4 linked regions of the Macaca fascicularis genome follow. The protein of the gene in region 1 purifies or fractionates together with the protein of each later gene. This does not show direct contact. Links are inferred from orthologs where the notes say so. Each region holds a gene or a part of one and is shown in the gene's direction. Other genes may lie near its edges.

The links. Proteins that work in one complex are often made in the same cells at the same time.
Region 2: the proteins of RC3H1 (region 1) and SERBP1 purify together in Homo sapiens (affinity purification with mass spectrometry, with the first as the bait; 3 studies listed by BioGRID). This does not show direct contact. The link is inferred for Macaca fascicularis from reciprocal best matches to the Homo sapiens genes RC3H1 and SERBP1.
Region 3: the proteins of RC3H1 (region 1) and NUFIP2 purify together in Homo sapiens (affinity purification with mass spectrometry; 3 studies listed by BioGRID, with this or other methods). This does not show direct contact. The link is inferred for Macaca fascicularis from reciprocal best matches to the Homo sapiens genes RC3H1 and NUFIP2.
Region 4: the proteins of RC3H1 (region 1) and FAU purify together in Homo sapiens (affinity purification with mass spectrometry; 3 studies listed by BioGRID, with this or other methods). This does not show direct contact. The link is inferred for Macaca fascicularis from reciprocal best matches to the Homo sapiens genes RC3H1 and FAU.

What each region holds. Positions count from the first base shown.
Region 1 is NC_088375.1:31,616,173-31,621,908, reverse strand, and holds the start of RC3H1 (roquin-1), read left to right. Parts: upstream 1-2,241; 5' UTR 2,242-2,336; intron 2,337-5,065; coding exon of another isoform or gene 5,066-5,090; intron 5,091-5,736. Other genes in the region: uncharacterized protein, read right to left, coding at 1,352-2,241, 5,066-5,090. UniProt on the Homo sapiens protein: Post-transcriptional repressor of mRNAs containing a conserved stem loop motif, called constitutive decay element (CDE), which is often located in the 3'-UTR, as in HMGXB3, ICOS, IER3, NFKBID, NFKBIZ, PPP1R10, TNF, TNFRSF4 and in many more mRNAs.
Region 2 is NC_088375.1:167,244,967-167,250,682, forward strand, and holds the start of SERBP1 (SERPINE1 mRNA-binding protein 1), read left to right. Parts: upstream 1-2,280; 5' UTR 2,281-2,382; coding exon 2,383-2,695; intron 2,696-5,716. UniProt on the Homo sapiens protein: Ribosome-binding protein that promotes ribosome hibernation, a process during which ribosomes are stabilized in an inactive state and preserved from proteasomal degradation.
Region 3 is NC_088390.1:34,779,238-34,785,147, reverse strand, and holds the start of NUFIP2 (FMR1-interacting protein NUFIP2), read left to right. Parts: upstream 1-2,474; 5' UTR 2,475-2,563; coding exon 2,564-2,840; intron 2,841-5,910. UniProt on the Homo sapiens protein: Binds RNA.
Region 4 is NC_088388.1:9,246,743-9,251,632, forward strand, and holds FAU (ubiquitin-like FUBI-ribosomal protein eS30 fusion protein), read left to right. Parts: upstream 1-2,238; 5' UTR 2,239-2,289; intron 2,290-2,559; 5' UTR 2,560-2,567; coding exon 2,568-2,642; intron 2,643-2,736; coding exon 2,737-2,881; intron 2,882-3,344; coding exon 3,345-3,400; intron 3,401-3,577; coding exon 3,578-3,703; 3' UTR 3,704-3,754; downstream 3,755-4,890. Other genes in the region: MRPL49 (large ribosomal subunit protein mL49), read right to left, coding at 1,948-2,025.

The sequences.
Region 1 (5,736 bases):
TAAGGAGCCTTACCAACTGAGGTACAACTATTAATAGTTCAAAGAAGTTGGCCGGGCACGGTGGCTCACGCCTGTAATCCCAGCACTTTGGGAGACCGAGGCGGGTGGATCACGAGGTCAGGAGATCGAGACCATCCTGGCTAACACGGTGAAACCCCATGTCTACTAAAAATACAAAAAATTAGCTGGGCGTGGTGGTGGGCGCCTGTAGTTCCAGCTACTCAGGAGGCTGAGGCAGGAGAATGGTATGAACCTGGGAGGAGAAGCCGGGATCACCCCACTGCATTCCAGCCTGGGCTACAAAGTAAGACTCCGTCTGGGGGGTGGGGTGGGGGGGAAGAAATTACATTATCTAGGTTGCTTGTAATGGAAGTTGAGTTACTTGCTTCACCTAAACAAGGAAGTTGGCATGTTTGCCTAGCAACAGTCGCTAAAACCTTCTGTTGTGGAAGGTTCCCTAGGAGTGAGAAGAAGGGAGGAGGAGGAAAAGCAGGAGGAGCAGATTAATCTGTTTTTCCTAGCAGGGTACAGAGGCCTGGTTTGAGGAGGGAAAGGCTTTAAGAGATCCCTTTAGATTGGCACATGCTAACCTAAATCCCCCTATGGTAGCTAGAAATTCACTCTCTGTAGGACTAGGGTTACTATTTAGTAGGCTGAAAAGACGATTACAGATTAAACCCAGTTCAAAGGCAGCAAATTCCAATCAATAGAAAGACATCAATAGGTCTTCTAAACAGAAGCTGAGATTTCAGGAGCAGGAGGGTGTTAACAACTAAAAAGAATTCTTCTCTGCCAAGAGTTTAGGAAGGTGTGTTATATTTCTTTAAAATAATACAAAAATACTATCTGTGATAGCGATTCCAATGTATCAAGTTAAAGGCAGAAGTGCTTCTCTTGGGGTACTGTGATGTAAACAGTGAAGAAAGGACAGAAAAACATAATCTCTGCTCTCTTGGTCAAGTCCTGAAGCAAAAAAGGTGATGCTGCCGAGTAGAGAGTATTAAATGGTTGTTTATTTGGGGACTCTCTCTCTCTCTCTTCTCTTCTAGATGATTTATTTTGAAATCAGTACTGTATGGTGTTACGATAATCCCATTTCTTCCCCCTCTCAAAAGCTAAAGAGGGTTTGGCTAAAATGAATTGTCTGAAGGGACCTCTCATTCCCCAAAACCAAAACGGCACCTTTTCCACAAGGGACAAGAAACTTTTAAAGAGTAGCAAGGTTAGATTTCAGGAGCTCTTCGACGAGCCACATCTTTTCCTGTCGTCCCCAAATAGCTCTTATTGTTCACACAGCCCAGGAGAGACGTTTTGGAGTAGCGTGTCCGGGCCTTTGGGCTGTTTCACAGCCTTAGGAGGCTGAACTCCAAGAGGGGTGACGAGGACAAAGCTGATGAGATCCAGAACCTAGATAATATGGAAGAAGACAAATGGGGTGGGGGACAAGACGTGAAAAAGAAACCAGAGTTGGGGGACAACGGCTGAGAAAGCCAAAAGAGTAGACGTATTGCGGGGTTCGATGGAAACGACAGAAATTCCTCCAATTTACTCTCGCCATCTGGCCACTGGCCCGCTGAGCCCAAAGGCGCCGGTGCGGGAGGGCAGGCCGGACGGAGGGACCGGTTCCTCTGCTCAGGGAGTGTGAGACTTTGGGTCGCGGCGGAGAGCGTCGCCGGCCTCCCTCCCGGGCGTTGGTGGCCGGTGACTCAGAGCTTTGCTCCCGCGCCCGCCCCGCCCCTCCGCCCGCCCCGCCTTCTGAGGGAGGATCCTCGCCCTCGTCTCCGCCCCAGTCTCCGGGGCGGGCCGGAGCCTGAGGAAGAGGAAGGGGACGAGGACAACGAGCGACTGGGCGGCGGAGGACGAGGAGGAGGAAGAGGAGGCAGACCAACAAGATGGCCCCTGCTGCAGGAGCAGCCTCAGCAGCAGCAGGTGGGAGGCCGGAGGCGGTGCTGGCGGTGGCGGCGGCAGCCGTGGCCCGGCGGCCTGGGACAGAATCAGAGTCAACGGTGGCAGCGGCGGCGGCGGCGGCTGCCGCGGCGGTGGCGACGGCCGCGGGGACTCGGAGCTGAGAGGAGCTGCTGCTCGGACCAGCGCGGTGAGCGAGCGGCGGGCGGCGACTTGGGGAGCGGGGCTGCCGCGGCCGGGGCCTCCGTCGGGAACAATAGGCAGCTGTGGTCGGGAAGGATTTGTCCTCGCCCGCCCTCTGCTCCCCGCCGCAGCGGCCGCCCGGCCGGCCCCAGGCTCCTCAGGGCCCCCGCCGGCTGCTCTGGGGCTTGTCAGTGGCCGGCGTCCTTTAGGCCTCAGGCCTCTGCATGCCGCCTGGAGGGCCTGTAGGGGTAGGTAGGCCGAGAGGAGGGCGAAGGGAGGCTCGGACTAGAGGGAGGGGGCGAAAGGGCTGCCTGGCTCCTCTGGTGCTGCCAGGGCCTGGGCCAGTCGGGGAGTGCGCACGGGAACTGCTTTTTGGACCCCTCCTCTGTGGGGGTGGGGGAGGGCGAAGGCGTCTGTAAACAGGCGCCGCCTCTGACTCCCAGCACCTTAGGGCTGCTCCCTCCCCCAGCCCCTGAAGCGCTCCCCCTCTTTGGCCAAGCGGGGTTCACGGTGTCTGTTTCCCTGAAGCCCCTGGAGACCTAGCCTGTGGTCTTCTCCCTCCTGGCGGTGGGAAAATTGTGTGTGTGCAGGTGTCTTAAAAAAAAAAAAACTGAAATGCAACAAAAACATACAAAATATGGTTATCGATAAAGGATGGAATGGTAAGGGATGCGCCTCTCTAAACATCTCTAAGCATCAGTTCTGTAAACATCAGTTATGCCCGCGCCCCAGTTGAAAGTGAATTGAAACAAGAGCTCTTTTGGAACAGTAATAATACTACTCTTGACATATCAGAATAGCCCATGAAACTGGAGACAAACACTTACTTTCAACGCGGAGACAAATTGTAATGTTTAAAGAGAACTTTTATTCCAGCTAGGCGTTTTAAATTACTAACATGCAGTGTAAGAAGCAACATTAACTAGCGTAAAGTGGACCTCAGGAAGCATTTCTAAAGGAGACACAGAGGTGGTTCATCTCCAGCCATAGAGCTTCTTGTGCCTTGTCTCCTGTTTCAGTAATTTGTCCCTAAATTGTTCAAGACCAGTCTTTTCTCTGAGTTAGAAATTTGATTTCATTTTTGTTTGTTCTTGTTTTGTTTTGTTTTGTTTTTGAGACGGAGTCTTGCCTTGTCACCCAGGCTGGAGTGTGTGGCGCAATCTCGGCTCACTGCAGCCTCCATCTCCCGGATTCAAGCGATTCCCCTGCCTCACCCTCCGGAGTAGGTGGGATTACAGGCGCCCGCCACCACGCCTGGCTGATTTTTGTATTTTTAGTAGAGACGGGGTTTTCACCATGTTGGCCGGGCTGGTCTGGAACTCCTGACCTCAAGTCATCTGCCCGCCTCAGCCTCCTAAATTGCTGGGATTACAGGCCTGAGCCTTAAACTTAATTTTTCAAGGCTTCTACCACATTTTCTTACAAGTGAGGGAAAAGGTAGATTTAAGTTATTTCTAAAGTACTTTCTACCTAGGTATGCAGAAATTTATATTAAAATTGCTTGGATACATCCAAGGAAATTGCTTTTCACTTGTTAACATTCAACTGTAAGGCCTAAGGGTTATAGGTTGTGTTCTTAAGGAAGACTGACCTGTGCTGAAAAGATGCCAGTTAATGTCTTTCACCTCTTTTAAGGGTACATTTCTAAGTAGAATTGGTCTAAGTCTGTTATAATTAAAAACATTTTCAGGTTACATGAAGTCTAGTAAGCAGCACTAGTCTACCTCTTAGTTCTTCCACAACAATTGATACTGAATAGACTAGCAATTGAATAAACATAGAGGTTGAATTATCTTGGTTAGGATTTGAAGTATAGTGAGTGAATATCAATACTGACTTTCATTTTATGCCTAGCATAAATAATGTTGGAGATGTTTTGATTTTTTGAGTGACGGAGAAAGAACAACTTTCTGTGGCTCCTGATGTTGTGACTTTTTTGCAAACATTTCAGAAAAGACACCGTTTTTCAGATGCTCAGATCTGTGATTTTTTTTTTCTGTGCTAAATTTTGTTAGGTCAGCACAGATTCCAAGTCCATGTTATAATGATAGTTAAATTTATGTTTGGCCCTAAACCTATTAGAACAATTGTAGTAATTGATAGCTTGTAAGTTTTAAGTGGTTCATGTACTGTGTTATGAAAAAAAATCTCACCGTGTTATGTCAAGGGCAGATTTACCTCATATTTATTATCATTTTCCTGAAAATAAGTATTTTTAAGTGGTAAGGTTTTGTATTTGAGATTGGTTATTGACCCAGCAATTTATGGGCTTAGTCTGGGTCCTTATTTGTTTAATAGGAAAAAATTTAGGGAATTGTTTTTATTCATTTTATGTCAAAACAGTTTTAAGATGTGATCCCTCAATTGTCCCGTCTTCAGTGTCAATACTTATTACTTAAGTTCAGATTTTCTCAAGTAATAAAAATTTACTTCTAAGAAGTTTTGGGACCAGAGCTTAAGAATTAGATTTATATTTTCTTAGTAATATTAAAAATTAATACATGCTTGATTTATTTGAAGAAATTAAAAAGGGTAATTTTGTACACAATAATACAAATTTAGTTTTTCAGAACATATTTGTTGAATGAATAAAAATATTTAATCTTCCTCATTATGCTGCAGTATTAGTTCTGTTGTCCTCATTTTTTCATATGAAGAATCTGAAGCTAGGAGTAGCTACATAATGCGCAAAAAGATCACATAATTAATAGGTAAAAGAGCTTACTCAGACCCAGGTCTTGTTACACAAATTAGATTCTTTGCCACTACCACATGTGTCACAGTTAAACTTTGCAGCATCTTCTGTGTCAACAGATTCCTTTTTTTGCCTGTGAACTTACCCTATTATCATTATTTGTATCCTGTCAGATATCTACTTGTAAGAACAAGAAAGTATTTGTTCATGTGAATCACAAAAGAAACACTTAACTTTTTGTTTTTAGCATATCTGAATGCTATAAAATATAAAAACTCATACTGTTTACATAGGACAGATTTATCATACTGCTATAATTGTTTTCATGGTTAATTTGTTATATAGGCAATTACTAAATTGTGCCTTTTAAATACTTTATAAATTCTTAAAAATAACTAAAGATATTCAGTGATGTTAAAGTTGGGTCAGCTAATAATATTTGAAGTTCTTAATTTATACATTTTTTTTCTTTAAGCCATGGATAATTTAGAATTCTGCAGTATTTTTCATCTCCAGATCTTAGGACTTGAAATGGATTTTGATGGGTCTAATCAGTCCACTCTTGTATATATCTTGAAAGTGGTCAGCATCCAACAAAGTGAGGAATAAACTGATAAATGATCCCTGTTTGGTGAACACCTCGGATCAGGATGTTCCTTGGCAGGGTATTCTGACCTGGTTTAGCTTTGGCCCTGTCTGTGCTCAGGGTTCAGGTATTCTTCAGGATTGGGTTCAGAGGGATTAAAATTCTCAGATTGGCCTGTATCAGAACAGTCACAGATTTCAGTCAGCCTTTTCCCAGAACCTTCTCCAAGATTTTTTCTTTTGTGTAATCCTGGAATCTAGGCTGGATTTAGAGGTTATGATAAAATATTAGTTTTGTCAGGCATTTATACAAAGGAGTTTTTCTTAGTACAGTGTTTCTTAAGGTAGATTCCTTCTATTTTTGAAGT
Region 2 (5,716 bases), about 140 Mb from region 1:
ATTTGTATACTTTAAAAATGGACTTTAAAACTTTTCAGAAATATAAAAGATTCTCCCCTTTTCTTCAAATGCTTATTCATAACATTTTTATGTAATCTTAATAGGTAAATTCTCTGAGGAGCATAAATGAACCTCATAAATTCATAGCCGAAAATTTCTCTAAGTGTAGCTTATTTTCAAATATTCTTATTATAATAATGCTTGGTGGTCACGAAGATCTGTCTGAGCAAACCAGAAATCTGTAATGGAGGAAAAAAATGACTAACAACAGGCCTGCTCCAGCCCCCGATTGTGGCAGGAGTAGTTAACTTACTTAAGCTCTTTGTTTTCATTTTCTTCATCTTAAAACAGAAGTAATAACCTTTTTTTGGGGGGGGGGTATGGAGTAATAACTTTCTTATAGAGCTGATGTAAGGTTTAAAGGAGATCACATACGTAAAGTGCACCAAGCACATACTAAAACATCACATTTTGGCTATGAATATCGTTACTGTGGCCGTGGCCAGAAAGAGGTAAGAAGAGGAGCTTTCACAGATGTCTCAAAGATGCAGATAGTCTCAAAGATGCAACAGCCTGTGAAGAGAGAGGATCTGTCAAAATGTGGAGATCTTCTACATTGCACTTGAGCTATTTCGAAAAGGTGGGAAGAGTATGGTCAAAAGCTCCTTGTCTTGGTAGGTGCCACGGAGCCAGAGCCTGTGAAAGAGAGGATGAGATAGGGGGTGTGTTTGAGGTTGGGGTGGGTAGGACTGAGGCAGCAGGGAAGTAAGTGGCTCTGAAGAGTAGGGGAGGATTGAGAAATAAGAAAACCAGGAGGTTTGCTGCCACATGTATGTAATATGACTCGTGTCTTCTATTTTCCCTGCTAAGGAATTGATTTAAAATCTGCTCGGAAATTGATGATTACATTCCGCCATGTTACATACCCTGACACACAACCATGTTTAAATCATATCGGAAACTTAAACATTGGACAGCTTTCTATCAGTGCAGAGTCTGAATTAAAGAGCTGATGTCCGGTCTCCTAGTGGAGGTAGAAGGCTGGGCTAATACCTGTCACTAGCACTTACAGAGGTGTGAATTTGGTAAATCATTTCATCTCTGAAGTGGTTTCAGCATTTGTGAAAAGAGGCAACTATTTGCGTAACACAATGTTGAGTTCAAGGTTATTCATAGCTCCTGCCAGAGATGCATTTGCTATTTTGTGTTAATGGAAAAGGATTTAAAAATTATGATATATTTAAACACGGTGCTACCAAATGTGCTTAAAATGCATTCAAACTGTATTCTTTTAATGAACTTTAATATTCTCAACTAGTATCAATGCTTTGTTATTATTAAGTATTGACTTCAATATTTCCCACCCCTCACCGCAACTCCTAGCACACACGCACTCGAAATGCTCTAAAATGGTATTTATTGAGCGCATGTGACTAACACCACAGCCACCTAAGCCCTGACTTGCCGGACACGAACGGACAATTAATTGGAATGACTGTAACAGCGTTTCTGTAAACAGTGCTTCCTAGCGGCTTGCCCAGTGTCTAGCGCTGCACAGTCAGGAGTTAACCACTCCTACGACACCGGCCGCCACACGGTGAGAAGCCCGGGAAAGACGCGCCACACTCCCATGTGATAGTTTCACTTGTCTTTTTGGTTAGTTCTGCTACCCTAGTTCACGTCCCCGCGAGAGGAAACGTATTCCACCTCACATTAGACAGAAGAGCCTCGATTCACCGTGGAGCCTGACAAAAGGGCACTCCAGCGACTGAGCTGCTCGGACTTGGCACAGGCAGGGTCCAGCCTACTCGCTGCCGGCGCGGCGTCTCAGCAACACCCCCTCCCCCGGAAGTTTGTGCGTCTCAGATGTAAGGTCTGGGAGTCACCTTGACCCTTCCCGGAGCGGTGGGGAAAGTTAGCCTGAGCCCGAGGGAGCGTGAGTGAAACCAAAGAGCACTTTCGCGAGTCAGCTACGCCGTCACGTTTTTCTGGTTTCAGGGTAGCTGAAGACCTAGAGAGTTTAAGGGCGACCAGAGCAGGTGGCAGGACTCCGCCCACCACCACGCTTCCCCTCCTTCAGCTCGCACGCTTCACTCCCTTCTTGGGGTCCCGCCTCTCGGGCGCGCGCGAAGAGTTGTCGCGCGGTGCATCCTGGGAATTGTAGTCCCAACGCAGGGAGTCGCCTCAGGAGAAACTACTCTGGCCTACACACCCCACAGTGCCTTGCGGCGCTGGCCGCTCCCGGATGTGTGCCTGGCGCCGGAAGAGAAGACGGCCCCCCTCTCTCGGCCCGGCCATCTTGTGGGAAGAGCTGAAGCAGGCGCTCTTGGCTCGGCGCGGCCCGCTGCAATCCGTGGAGGAACGCGCCGCCGAGCCACCATCATGCCTGGGCACTTACAGGAAGGCTTCGGCTGCGTGGTCACCAACCGATTCGACCAGTTATTTGACGACGAATCGGACCCCTTCGAGGTGCTGAAGGCAGCGGAGAACAAGAAAAAAGAAGCCGGCGGGGGCGGCGTTGGGGGCCCCGGGGCCAAGAGCGCAGCTCAGGCCGCGGCCCAGACCAACTCCAACGCGGCAGGCAAACAGCTGCGCAAGGAGTCCCAGAAAGACCGCAAGAACCCGCTGCCCCCCAGCGTTGGCGTGGTTGACAAGAAAGAGGAGACGCAGCCGCCCGTGGCGCTTAAGAAAGAAGGTAAAGCAGGGGCAGAATGTGGGGGAGACTGGGATGGAGGGAAGGAGCGAGAGGGCTGCCGGCTACCACTTGTTTCTGGAGCTCCGAGGGTCCGCGGGAGACTTTGCCGCCTATTTCCTCACGTTTCTTCACGCGACAAAAGCCAGGTCCTGCGAAGGTGCCAGGAGCGTGGTAGCCCCAAGTTCAAGCCACCGCCGGCGAGGCTCTCGGAGCCACCCCCTTCCCGCCTTAGGTTGTGAGCGGAGGAGCGTGGTCGGAGATGAGCTGCTCCTCGAGCGCGCTCGGGGTCCGGGGAGGCTGTTGCCTTCCCGCCGGATTCCTTGGCGGGCGAGCGCATGGACTGAGGTGCGGGGAAGCCGGCCGCTCACCGACGCTTGCCGTAGTTACGGAGGGGCTCGGGGTCCATCGCTGCTTACTGCGCAGAGCTGCTCCTTTGAGGTGCTGTTGTTTCAGGCTCCTGTCCTGCCATCTTGTCCCACGACGGCGCGGAGTATCCCCGCCGAAAAGCAGGGGGTCGTTCCAGGCCATCGGACGTGTGGAGTCAGCCGCAGGTTGGGGTGCCGCGTGTGCTTTATTGTTTCTCCTCCACCTCTCAACTGTTAGGACTTTCTCAGAACTTGCTGGGGTGAGTTGAGCTGTTGGGAAATGGAGGAGTTTGGCCACACTCGACTAAGCAGAAGCGGGAATTATGAATGAAGACTGGTGATCGCAGGACGTCCCGAGGAAAGTCCTCGAGTCACGATCCTCTCTCTCTCGACTCCCCAAACTGAGTCTTTCACATGGTGGACTCTGGGCCTCGTGGGTAAAGTGAGTGCAGAGGCTGTCACAGCGTTAGTCGCAGCAGAGCTCTTTAGAGTCTGCAGCTTTTTTTTCCCCCTCCACATGTGCGTGAAGCATGGTCAGAGTTTCACTGGCGGTTAATAGTTGCTTCCAGGGCACTGTGAGTTTCACAGGATTGTCTTGATTTTTGCATTCTCATTACCAGTTTGTTACGGATGAAAAAGAGCAAGTAGTTCGAAGATAAGAACGTGCATGATCAATAGCAAGCAGGTGTCGGACCTAAGGTCTGAATCTTTAAAGCTGTATTTATATGTTGAAAGTTGAAATTACCCCTTCCTGCCACGTGCTTCTCTGAAAGGAGTTCTCATTAGCTTTTGTTGACTTCTGTGACATTCAACTAATTTTGAAAATCAAAACAATTTCCTCGTGGTGGGATTTGTTTTAGGAGGTTTATTGTTTTTTGTGGTTTTTTTTTTTTTTGAGGACTTTTATGAGGCTTAGAATGAAGAACCTCGGTCCTAGGTGGTGAATGAAGAAAATAATTCTTGTGGTAAAATTATAGGTTGAGGAGAAACACAGTTGGAGTATTAGAAAGCATGTACATCACTTAGGCCAAGTATCTCTTCAGCCAATTAAGCTTTATGGCAATCTAACACACCTAAATAAATCATTTAATTCGTGTGTTAAGTAATGCTGACTTGTGTAATTATTTAAACTATGCTTAAGCTTAAGAAAGTAAACAAAAAAGTTGAGTCTGACGAATAGTGTGTACCAGGTAGATGTGTTCACTCATTTTGAATGTTCAAAACATGAAGCATGTTTAAATGCCTGAGTTATTTTGATCATGAAGCCCATCTAAGAAATAAGCTCTTACCTGAAAAGTATTTTAAGTGACAAATGTGGGGAATGATTTCATGAAGTTAGAACTAAGACTTAAGTTCACCATTCAATAAGTCTTTCCATGGGAAAACTATTCCATATTAGCAATCAACATTTTCCTTAGGTCAGTATTTCAGAGCACTCTTATTAAGTTGCATAAAATACAAGCATGTAAATACAAGAAAAGTGTTGAATGGACAATACCCGTTTTGAGATTCTACTGTCCTATTTACTGGGAATATATCTGTAAACAAAATCCCTGCAGATAGTAGGAAGGTTAACCTGATTGTGTTCTGTGGTTTTGACAACACATTGTGACATAATGCTTGACATACTTTAGACAGATATTTAATGTTTATGTTTTATGAATTAATTTTGTAGCTTCTCTTGCCTATTTGAAGAACTTGAGAATTGATAGCAGAATGTCATTGAGAGTGTAGACCAGGCATTTTCTAAAACAGAATGGATGCCTGAAACTAGTGCAGTTAATGAGCTTGCAGGTTATACATAAGTATATCAAAAGAAGCTTGCATTTTTAAATGTCAGTCTTTTTCATTAGGTGAGTTTAATCTAAGTTTCTAAGATTCTGTAAGCTTAATATTGATATTGGGTGGGGACGCCAACTATTGTTCACTTGGGTGTGTGTGGCTTGGATATTATTGCAAGGACTGGCTCCTTAACTCCACCCCAGTACGCTTTATTACTGATGACATTTATTTAAATACCTTGGTGTAAGGTCTAACATTTGTAGTCTGTCTTGTATTTGCTGGGAATGAACTTCAAAATTCTATTGAAGAGACTGATAGTTACTGTTTGGCTCCAGTTACAGGCAATTGAACAATTGGGTGTGTCCTGATGGTGTTCTACTTTCTTCGAACCAAAGTGAAGCAGCTTAAAATCTTGTAAAACCAATTCCTCAGCTGCTTTATGACTTTGTCAGAAATTGGGAATTAGAGCATACCAACAATCTTAAAGTCATTAATTTAATCATCCATCTATTGATCCTTAAGGGCACTAGTAATTTAAATTGGTTGCCTTTGTGGGGTTTCAAACATTACAGGAAAAGCAGTAAAGGGGGAAATTAGTAAATGCTTCAGCTATCACTTAGTGTCACAAGTTTCTTATTTCTTACCTACTGCTTAAAAGGGGTCTTATGTGTGTGGATTTGGTTTTTAAAGATTATTTGACAATAAAGATAGTTGTTAGGGCAGATTTTTTAGAGGACTGTCTCCATGCATAATAAGTAACTGTTTCCTAACTTGGAAGTACTTAGAGATGTGGGAGTGTGTACAAACATATATACACTTACATGCTATAAATTTTTAAACTGTTTAATAGGGGAAGATGGCCCTTTTTGTGTGC
Region 3 (5,910 bases), on another chromosome or scaffold:
CAGCTCACTGCAGCTTCCACCTTGAGGGCTCAAGTGATCCTCCCATCTCAGCCTCCCAACTATAGGCACACACCACCATGCCAGGCTAATTTTTAAAAATTTTTGTAGAGAGAGAGTCTCTGTATGTTGCCCAGGCTGGTCTTGAACTGCTGGGGTCAACTGATCTGCCTTGGTCTCCCAAAGCGTTGGGATTACAGGTGTGAGCCACCATACCTGACCTGTTTTTTCTTTAATAATTGGAAATGTGGTAGAATATTATTCAATGGCAAAGACTTATTTATTGTGATATGATATTATTATTAGGGTTTTCATTCTCAAAATTGGGTAAATGTACCCCCAAAGAGGTTTTTCTTTAAAATTTAGCAAGGCTGGCTGGGCCCAGTGGCTCATGTCTGTAATCCCAGCACTTTGGGAGGCTGAGATGGGCAGATCACCTGACGTCAGGAGTTTGAGACCAGCCTGGCCAACATGGAGAAACCCCATCTCTACTAAAAATACAAAATTAGCCTGGCACGGTGGCACGTGCCTGTAATCCCAGGTACTCGGGAGGCTGAGGCAGGAGAATCGCTTCAACTCGGGAGGCGGAGGTTGCGATGAGCCGAGATCACATCATTACACTCCAGCCTGGGCAACAAGGGCAAAACTCCATCTCAAAATGAAATAAAATAAAATACAATTTTAGCAAGGCAATACAAATCTTCACTATACAGAACATGCCAAAATTTGGTCATGGTTTTCAGGACTCAATGACATTTGTTATTGGAAACCAGCTGTTATGTTTTAAATAAGCTTTTGCATTGACATTCATTAATTTCATAGCATAAACTTTTTGCTTTTAAGCTTCTTGTTCCTTTAATGTTGTCCTGTTGTAGGAATTCAAGCCACATTTAAAAAATTCAAAAATTTAACATACATTGAGGAAACAGTCCATATGTCCACTGCTGAGTGAATAAACAAAATGTGGTATATACATATAATGGAATATTAGTCAGCCTTAAAAAAGAGGGAAATTCTGATATATGCTACTCTGAAGACATTACGCAAAAACGCTAGTCACAAAAAGACAAATACGGTACAATCCCACTTAAATGAGGTACCTAGAATAGTCAAATTAGTAGAGACAGAAAACAGAACAGTGGTTATCAAGGGATAGAAGGAGGAGGGAAAGGACAGTATTTTTATTGGGTATGAAGTTTCAGTTTGGAATGATGAAAAAGTTCTGGAGATGGATGATGGTCATGGTTCTACAACAATATGAATGTACCTAATGCTCCTGAACTGTACACTTAATATTAAGATGGTAAGTTTTATATTATGAATATTTTACAATTTAAAAAATCCCCCAATCTATAACATACATTGAGAAAAGTACATTTTACCTGTATATTGTTTAACAAATAATCACCACCAAATATATGTATAATCACCACCTAGCCCCCAAAATGAAATATTATCAGTAACCTGTGTCCCTCCCCATCACAACCCTCTTTTCCTGAGTAAGCACTATCATGGCTCTAACATTTGCTTTTGAAAATCATACTGTGATGTGGTAATGCAGGATAAGTTAAATCTACACTACAACACGCTACAGAATATTTCTTTAAATTTCATTTTTTCCATAAGTGCAAAAAAAATCCCACTTAATAACTTTTAAATGCTCTTTCTCCCCTTCCTTTGCTCTTGAAACTTCATATTCTAAAACCTATTTTGGTGCCATAGTTGACCTCACCTGCAGTTTAATTAAAAAAAAAAAAAAACCCACAACCTTCAGTGTAGATTTTCATTCCTCCCGCTCCCCCTTGCCTCCAACTACAAAGAAACAATGATTTAAACCCTTTGTGCCCTTTTAGAAAATTACACAGATACCCCATTGTGGAACCCTATAATCCCTTCGTGGAAAGGAAGAGATTAGCATATGAATACAAAGCAAAATGAATCCAGAATACAAAATGATCTACTGGATTGTGAAGCTCTTGTATTCTTAAAAATGTATTTATTTCCTCTTTTTGTATTGCCCCTTTAGTGGTCTTAGGGTTAAGGGAATTGAGCTTCCCTTTCTGGTTACCCGGAAAAGGATTAACAACAAAAAACAACAAAAAACAAAAAAACCACCAGATTCTAATAGGTGCAAAACCAACAGATGGCTCCCAGCGCCAGTGGAATCGCCAGTGGAATCTGCTACCCTCGACATGAGCTTGCTTGCCGGCGAGGAGTGTAGAAAGTGCTGTTCGCAGACTGCGTGGTGAAGGAGAGAAAGCGACAGAAGAGAGAGCCATAGTGCTGACGTTGAAGGCCCGGCCCTGTGAGGTTGCACAGGGTAAGTGGCGTTGGCCAGGCGGCAGCGGCGAAGGGGAAGGAAAGAGGATTTGAGCTGGGGGCGGGGCTTGCGGTACAGCGTGGCTCCTGATTGTTGGAGCGCGGCTGCCAATCTCGCAGAATCGCTCGGTTAACCAGTGCGCTGGCGAGACGCGCTCAGATATACTGAGTGAGCCCTGAGAAGCAGTCTCAGATCCTGACGGTGCAGCAGCCCGCAGCCTCAGCCAGGGAGTCCCAGCCGCTTTCAATGGAGGAGAAGCCCGGCCAGCCACAGCCTCAGCACCATCACAGCCACCACCATCCGCACCATCACCCTCAGCAGCAGCAGCAGCAGCCGCACCACCACCACCATTATTATTTCTACAACCACAGCCACAACCACCACCACCACCATCATCACCAGCAGCCTCACCAATACCTGCAGCATGGAGCCGAGGGCAGCCCCAAGGCCCAGCCAAAGCCGCTGAAACATGAGCAGAAACACACCCTCCAGCAGCACCAGGAAACGCCGAAGAAGAAAACAGGTCTGGGAGGGAGGACGGGTGGGGGAAGGGGGTTGGGGGTGGAGGACAGGGGAGATGGGGGTGGGGCTGGATCCGAGAAGCGCGGACGGGGTCGGGATGTGTGTGTGTGTGTGTGCCCTCCGGCTCTGGGGATGCCCCTTTCATTCTAGGGCTCGGGCTGAGCAATGGGGTTTGCAGCGCCCTCCTTCCCTCCAGCATGGGAGAGGCCCAGCCAGGCCAGCGTGACCTTCCCGGCCCCCGCCCCGGCTGAAGGGAGACCCACTGGGTCGGCCTTGCAAGTCCAACCTCGTTATTCTTTTCCATTCACCTCTCTGCGTCCCTGGAGTTACCTCAATATGGGGGCCCTGAGATGGGGTAAACCTACCCCCCAAAAAAATCCCTCGAGGTGTAACTCAGGAAGGCCTAGCGAATCCCGCCTCGGATGGTGTCGCGAGACCCTTTTGCAGGCGGCCAGGGGTGGGTAGGTAGGCTGAGTTGAGGAAGTGCCCCTCACCCGCCACCCCAAGCCCACCTGTGGCCTTGGGGCTCCCCATCTTGTTGGGGGGGCTGTTGGGACCCCTCATCTCACGGGTCGTTTCCACCACTAGACGCCTTTTTTGGGCGCCGGACCCCGCAGTCTTGTCCCGCGGCTCCTCCCAAGGCTGGTGCCCCGGGCCCGCTCCCCCCAGAGCCGGCGCGGCTGGAATGTTCTCTCCTCCTCGCGGGGCCGCTTCCTGTCCGCCATGTTGGAAGCCGATTCCTGTCACCGACTCCGGCCCACTGAGGAGCGGGGGGGAAGGGTGTCGAGGGCCACACGGCGCGTCGGAGCTGGGTGACCTGGGATCACCACCGGCCGCCGCCTCGCCCCCTGCACTGCGGGGGCGCCGCCGCCCCCCGCTCCGCGGCCGCCCCTCCCCCGTCACCGGCCGGGGTTGTGTAACCCGGTGGCGGCGCGAGGCCCCGGGCGGGTCCCTGGGGTGAGGGGCGGGGGCGGTTGGGGTGGGGGAGGGAAGCGGCCACGAGGGGAGCGGCCTGCGCAGGGCCCCGCGCGCCAGCGGCCGCGTTTCCCGCTCCCGGGTGCGGCGGGAGGCGCGGGCAGTCGGGGCGGGGAGCCGGCCTCGAAGCGGAGCTGAGGGGGAAGGAGGCCGCGGGCGGCGGCGGCGGCCGCGGCGCTCCTAGGGGCAGGAGGCCTGGGGGGGCGGCGGGGGGATTCATTTTGGGTAGAGGCGGTGCCTGAGGCCGGGTGGGGTACCCAGCGGGAACCCAGCTCCCCGGTCACGAGTTTCTCTGCCACAGGAACCTCGTCTCCTGCCAGGTTCGCTCACGACTCCGCCTCTGAGGCTTTCACTTGGGCCTTTTCCTTCTAGCAGCTCATTTTCTACAAAAAAAAAAAAAAAAAAAAAAAAAAAAATTAACAAAAACCTTGTTCCATTCCCCTCCCCAGCCGGCACTTACCTTCTGAGCTTGGGTAGTGTCTTTGAGGTGAGAGATTTTTTAAAATGTTAGGATGAGGAACAGGGCGAGCTTTTTGACCCCCTTTCTTGTCCTTAAGGGTGAACCCAAGTGGCTCATCCATGAGGTTAGATTACTACCATCTTGCCTCGGATGAGGCTTCTCTCCATGTTAAAAAGAAAGGTGTTTTTTCGTATTTTAAAGTCGATATTGATCCCCAAACTAATATTAACAAACGAGAAATTGAGGGTAAAAGTCATGTAAGAAAGTATTTCACGAGAAGTAAGTTTAAAAGTTTATAACCCTCGCATATTTTGAAAAATAAGGGCTCTATATAAATCGAAGAGAAAGGAAGCATAAAGCGTATGTTAAACCCAGCGTATCAAATTTGATAGAAGGAATTGTTGAGAGCTGGAGAAAAACTAAGTGCTTTTTAAATTGCAGATTGTAACTTGAAGACTGAAATTAGAGTGTCAGATTTTCCATTTTGGGAGTTCGTTAGGGACCCGATGGTATGCAACAGAAGTGAACACGTAACACACGAGTTAGGTGTTTAATCCTAAAGATTTAGAGCAGTTTAAAAACTGTTAGGGACTACATAACTAGATTTTTTTAGCGTTAGATCTTGTTCAAAAGATGAGAAAATACTACCGTATTATGGCTGCATAAGGCAATATTACTGTTGAGACTGAAAAATTGTATTTCATCGGTCAGGTAAATATACTCTTGCAAGACTTCTCTCTACATGTAGAAGCAGCCCCTAAACCATTCAAGGTGGTATTCCTCCAAATATTTCTTATCTCGGAAGACGTGGATAAAGAGGAGGAAACTGGAATTAGGAGTTTTGACAGAGTATAAACAATTTGGGGCGAGTGTATGGTTTGGTCACAGTACTGTTGCTTTGACATGCATTATGCTAATAACTAAGAAAACATTACAATATTTTTGAAATTTATCTGTAACATGTTGAGGTAGGCTTTTGTAACCCATTACTCACAAACCTAAAGAGGAACAGTTTTTTTTGTTTATCCAGAAGAGGGCGCAAGAGAAGGCCAAATGTGTTGAGTAATTTGTTTCTAATTGAAAAGCTAGATTTATCAGGACTCAAGTTTTGCTGAGTCTTTTGGAAGTAGGATTAGTATGTATAAGCAGCCCTAAATAATAAAAGCGCTAGGAGTCCTTTAATTTCTTAAATTTATTCTATAATGTTTACATTTTTCTTAAATATCTAAGATATAAAAAAATTTATTTCTGGCATACTTTATACATACCAACAAGGTTGTCATGAGGAAAGTTTTATGTAGTTAAACGAGATTTTCTTTCTCTTTTTTGTTATTAAAACTTACAGGTGGGAGCACAGTGGCTTCTAAGCCGTTTTTTCATTGTTTGGTGAATTCTAATAGCTGAGTCACTACAAACTAGAATCTTAGGAAGAATTATTCTAGTTAGTTTTGGTTCAGCTCAGTTTGGAGATTGGATTTTTTGCTATTTCAAGTTGCTCATCTTTAATTGAAATCTGAAAAGTTGTGACTAATGGGCCCAAGGATACAAACCTTTGTTTAACCTGTTGGTATGTTAAATGATATAGGTAGTCTTGTATTCCCTCCAGAGTTAGGTAATGTATGTTACATTTTTGAAT
Region 4 (4,890 bases), on another chromosome or scaffold:
TGGCTCAAGCCTGTAATCCCAGCACTTTGGGAGGCCGAGGCGGGTGGATCACGAGGTCAGGAGATCGAGACTATCCTGGCTAACACGGTGAAACCCCGTCTCTACTAAAAATACAAAAAAAAAAATTAGCCGGGGGTGGTAGCGGGCGCCTGTAGTCCCAGCTACTTGGGAGGCTGAGTCGGGAGAATGGCGTGAACCCAGGGGGCGGAGCTTGCAGTGAGCTGAGATCGCGCCACTGCACTCCAGCCTGGGAGACACAGCGAGACTCCATCTCAAAAAAAAAAAAAAAAAAAAAAAAAAAATTAGCCAGGTATGGTAGTGCATGCCTGTAATCCCAGCTACTTGGGAGGCTGAGGCAGGAGAATTGCTTGAACACAGGGGGCAGCGGTTGCAGTGAACTGGTATCATGCTACTGCACTGCAGCCTGGGTGACAGAGCAACAAGACTCTCTCAAAAAACAAAAATAAACAAACAAAAATTTCTGCAGGGCCATCTGTCCAACAACTGCCTGTCCAATCTTGAACTGGCACCACCCTTGTTATTCATCCTTGTAGCCAAGGATAACTATCTCAATACAATTATGTAATATTCTTTTTTCCTTTCCTTTATTTTTTTTTTGGGGGGGGACGGAGTCTCACTCTGTCACCTAGGCTGGAGTGCAGTGGCGTGATCTCGGCTCACTGCAACCTCCGCCTCCCAAGTTCAAGTTAAGTCTCCTGCCTCAGCCTCCCAAGTAGCTGGGACTACAGGCACACGCCATCACACCCGGCTAATTTTTGTATTTTTTGTAGAGACGGGTTTCACCATGTTGGCCAGGCTAGTCTCAAACTCCTGACTCCAGGTGATCTATCCGCCTTGGCCTCCCAAAGTGCTGGGATTACAGGCGTGAGCCACCGTGCCTGGCCCATTTTTCCGTTAAAAACCTTTGTCTTCTTTTACCTCCCTGATAAGCACATAGTATACACCCATTTCAGAATAAATATCATTTTCTTTTAGAGTCCGTTATTTAAGTTGACATAAGATAGCACCAGTCTTTGGTTTTCCATGGTGCAGGGTACAGACGGGATGGAAAGGAGGCTCAGATACTCTGAATGGTCTACCTCTCTTAGGATTTCGGTGGGATTCAAAAGAGTATGTGTAGACTTCTGAAAAGTCAATCAAGTCTTTAGAAACTTAAGGCTTAACTTTCTGCCTCGGTTTTAGGAATAGATATTATTATTACATTGGCAGCGTAACCTTGTTTGTACCTTCATGATTGCCTGGCTGGCCTTGCTCACCTAATCACATCTGTGATTGGATATAGTGGTGTTTAATCTTATGATTGCCTTAACAATTAAGGCAATCAGCCGGGCGCGGTGGCTCACGCCTGTAATCCCAGCACTTCGGGAGGCCGAGGCGGGCGGATCGCGAGGTCAGGAGATCGAGACCATCCTGGCTAACACGGTGAAACCCATCTCTACTAAAAATACAAAAAAATTAGCCTAGCGTGGTGGCGGGCGCCTGTAGTCCCAGCTACTCAGGAGGTTGAGGCAGGAGGATGGCGTGAACCCGGGAGGCGGAGCTGGCAGTAAGCCGAGATCGCGCCACTGCACTCCAGCCTGCGCAACAGAACGAGACTCTGTCTCAAAAAAAAAAAAAAGAAAAAAAGAATTAAGGCAATCATAATTCCCTACGCACACTCATGCTAGGATCCCGCCCCTTATCTGAAACGTTTTGGCTTACATAGACACTGCCAGGCACTGTGTTAAGTGCTCCCAAAGAGCACCGCAGTCTACCACTTTCTCTCTCGTTTCTGTATCTACACTCGATCGGGAGACAAGCTCTTCCGATCGAAAACGACAAAACTAAGGCCCCAAGTAGGAATGCCTTAGTTTTCGGGGTTAACAATGATTAACACTGAGCCTCACACCCACGCGATGCCCTCAGCTCCTCGCTCAGCGCTCTCACCAACAGCCGTAGCCCGCAGCCCCGCTGGACACCGGTTCTCCATCCCCGAAGCGCAGCCCGGAACATGGTAACGGCCATCTTGACCTCGTACGCCAGCCGTCTGTGCACGCAACGGTCTGGTTCCGCCCCCTCCTGCGCGCGCTGCCTGCCCCTGGCAGGCTCGCCTGTGCGAGCGTAAAGGGGCGGAGCTAGGGTCGCCTTGGGCGGTACAAATATCAGAGACCCGCGCGGTCGCTCAGTAGTGACGTGATACGCAGCTCGCGGTCAGTACAGACGCGCCCTCGCTTCTTCCTCTTTCTCGACTCCATCTTCGCGGTAGCGGCAGCTGGGACCGCGGTTCAGGTAAGAATAGGGCCTTGGCTGGATCCGAAGGGCTTGTAGCAGATTGGCTGCGGGATCAGAGGGCGCGGGGGAAACTGAAGAACCAGGCCGGCTCTGTGGCCCTGCTCCAGTCCCTATCCGAATTCTTCGGGAGGCCTGGCCTTCCCCACGTGAGCCGCCGCGACCACCTCCATCCCATCGCTATCGTTTCTGGACCACTTTCCATTCCCAAACCTCCTTTATCCCAGAGCATTTCTTCGCTTCTCTTACAAGCCGTATTTCTTTACTCAGTCGTCAACATGCAGCTTTTTGTCCGCGCCCAGGAGCTACACACCCTCGAGGTGACCGGCCAGGAAACGGTCGCCCAAATCAAGGTAAGGCTGCTTGGTGCGCCCTGGGTTCCATTTTCTTGTGCTCTTCACCCTCGCGGCCCGAGGGAACACTTACGAGCCTTATCTTTCCCTGTAGGCTCATGTAGCTTCACTGGAGGGCATTGCCTCGGAAGATCAAGTCGTGCTCCTGGCAGGCACCCCCTTGGAGGATGAGGCCACTCTGGGCCAGTGCGGGGTGGAGGCCCTGACTACCCTGGAAGTAGCAGGCCGCATGCTTGGAGGTGAGTGAGAGAAGAATGTTTTTTGAACTACTGGTAAGCGTCTAGTGGGTAGGGGGTGCATAGTCCTGGCAGCTGAGTGTCACACCTATGGTAATAGAGTACTTCTCACTGCCCTCAGTTCAGAGTGATTCTTCCTGTTTACATCCCTCATGTTGAACACAGACGTCCATGGGAGACTGAGCCAGAGTGTAGTTGTGTTTCAGTCACATCACGAGATCCGAGTCTGGTTATCAGCTTCCCCACTAAAATTAGGTCAGACCGGGGCCCCCAAAGTGCTCTAGAAAGTTAGAAGCTGGAAAATCCTGAAATGAAACTTAAGATTTCAAGGTCAGATATCTGCAGCTTTGTTCTCATTACCTGTTGGGCCCAGCTTCTCTTTAAAGGCTTGAATTGAGGAAAGAGGGGTTCTGCTGGGTGGCACCTTCTTGCTCTTACCTGCTGGTTCCTTCCTTTCCCATTACAGGTAAAGTCCATGGTTCCCTGGCCCGTGCTGGGAAAGTGAGAGGTCAGACTCCTAAGGTGAGTGAGAGTATTAGTGGTCATGGTGTTTGGACTTTGTCTTTTCCTGTCACAGCTAAATCAAGTCCCTGGGTTCTTACCCGGTTTGCCTTCTCCCTCCCTGGAGATGAGCCTGAGGGAAAGGATGCTAGGTGTGGAAGACAGAAACCAGGGCCTGATTAACCCTCCCTTCTTCAGGTGGCCAAACAGGAGAAGAAGAAGAAGAAGACCGGTCGGGCTAAGCGCCGGATGCAGTACAACCGGCGCTTTGTCAACGTTGTGCCCACCTTTGGCAAGAAGAAGGGCCCCAATGCCAATTCTTAAGTCCTTTGTAATTGCGGCTTTCTCTAATAAAAAAGCCACTTAGTTCAGTCATCGCATTGCTTCATCTTTATTTGCAAGGCCTTGGGGAGAGGTTGGTGCTGTGTCCCCTGTAAGAACAGTGAGGCAGAAAAGCCGTTGGTATAGGGGAAGAAATGGTAAACTGCAAGAGGAATTTTCTGTGAAGAAACAGTAGCCACAGATCCTGGGGCTTCAGGTGTAGAATTGGAGTTATTCCCTATCCTAAGTAACTTGATCAGTCCCCTCAAGTCATTCTTTTTCATCTTCTAAACAGAGAAGGTAGCAGGAATCATTGTGGTGAGACGTTTGTTATGGAGGCAGCAGTGGGAGGGATGGGTGGGGGAAGAGGTTTGTATAGAAGGTGAACCTGGTCATTCCCTGAACTTGATACCAGCTGTGGCCTTAGAGTCCAGGGCAGGAATCTGGTCTGCCTCGGTTTTAGAAATAAATATTACGTTGGGTGCATGGTCTCGTTTGTACCTCTATGATTGCCTGGCTAGACTTGGTAACCTAATCACATCTGTGATTGGATATAGTGATGTTTTGGTGTTCCCAAAAGTTGGATTATCTCTGGGGCTGATTCAGGGTTGCCTTCTAGCAACTGAGCCTCCCAGCACTTCTGAACCCCACTTACTCATTCAGCTAAAGTTTCTGGACCTGCCAGTTCTTGGGAAATAGCATCCAACAGGGTAAAACCCTTGGGCTGTGGACTTTGAATGCCTGAGTTTGGACCTTTTTTTTCCTAATCCATTTACTGGGTGGCTGGCCTTTGAACTAACTACTAATTTAATCTCTGCCATCTCCAGAGCTGCTGTGAAGGTTAAAGGATGTAGTGTGTGAATCTTGGCTATTTTCGTCTCGTGGTGTTAAAGACATGCTTTCTGCTTTCTAGCAGTTTAGAAAGGGGGAGGATGTGGACAGATACAATAGCATCCCAGAGAGGGCCTCTTTTTTGTTTTTCTTTTTTCTTTATCTTTTATTGAGACGGAGTCTCCAACCTCCTGGGTTCGCACCATTCTTCTGCCTCAGCCCCCAGAGTAGCTGGGACTACAGGCATGTGCCACCACGCTTAGCTAATTTTTTGTATTTTTAGTAGAGATGGGTTTTCCCTATGTTGGCCGGGATGGTCTCGATCTCTTGACATTGTGATCACCCGCCTTGGCCTCCCA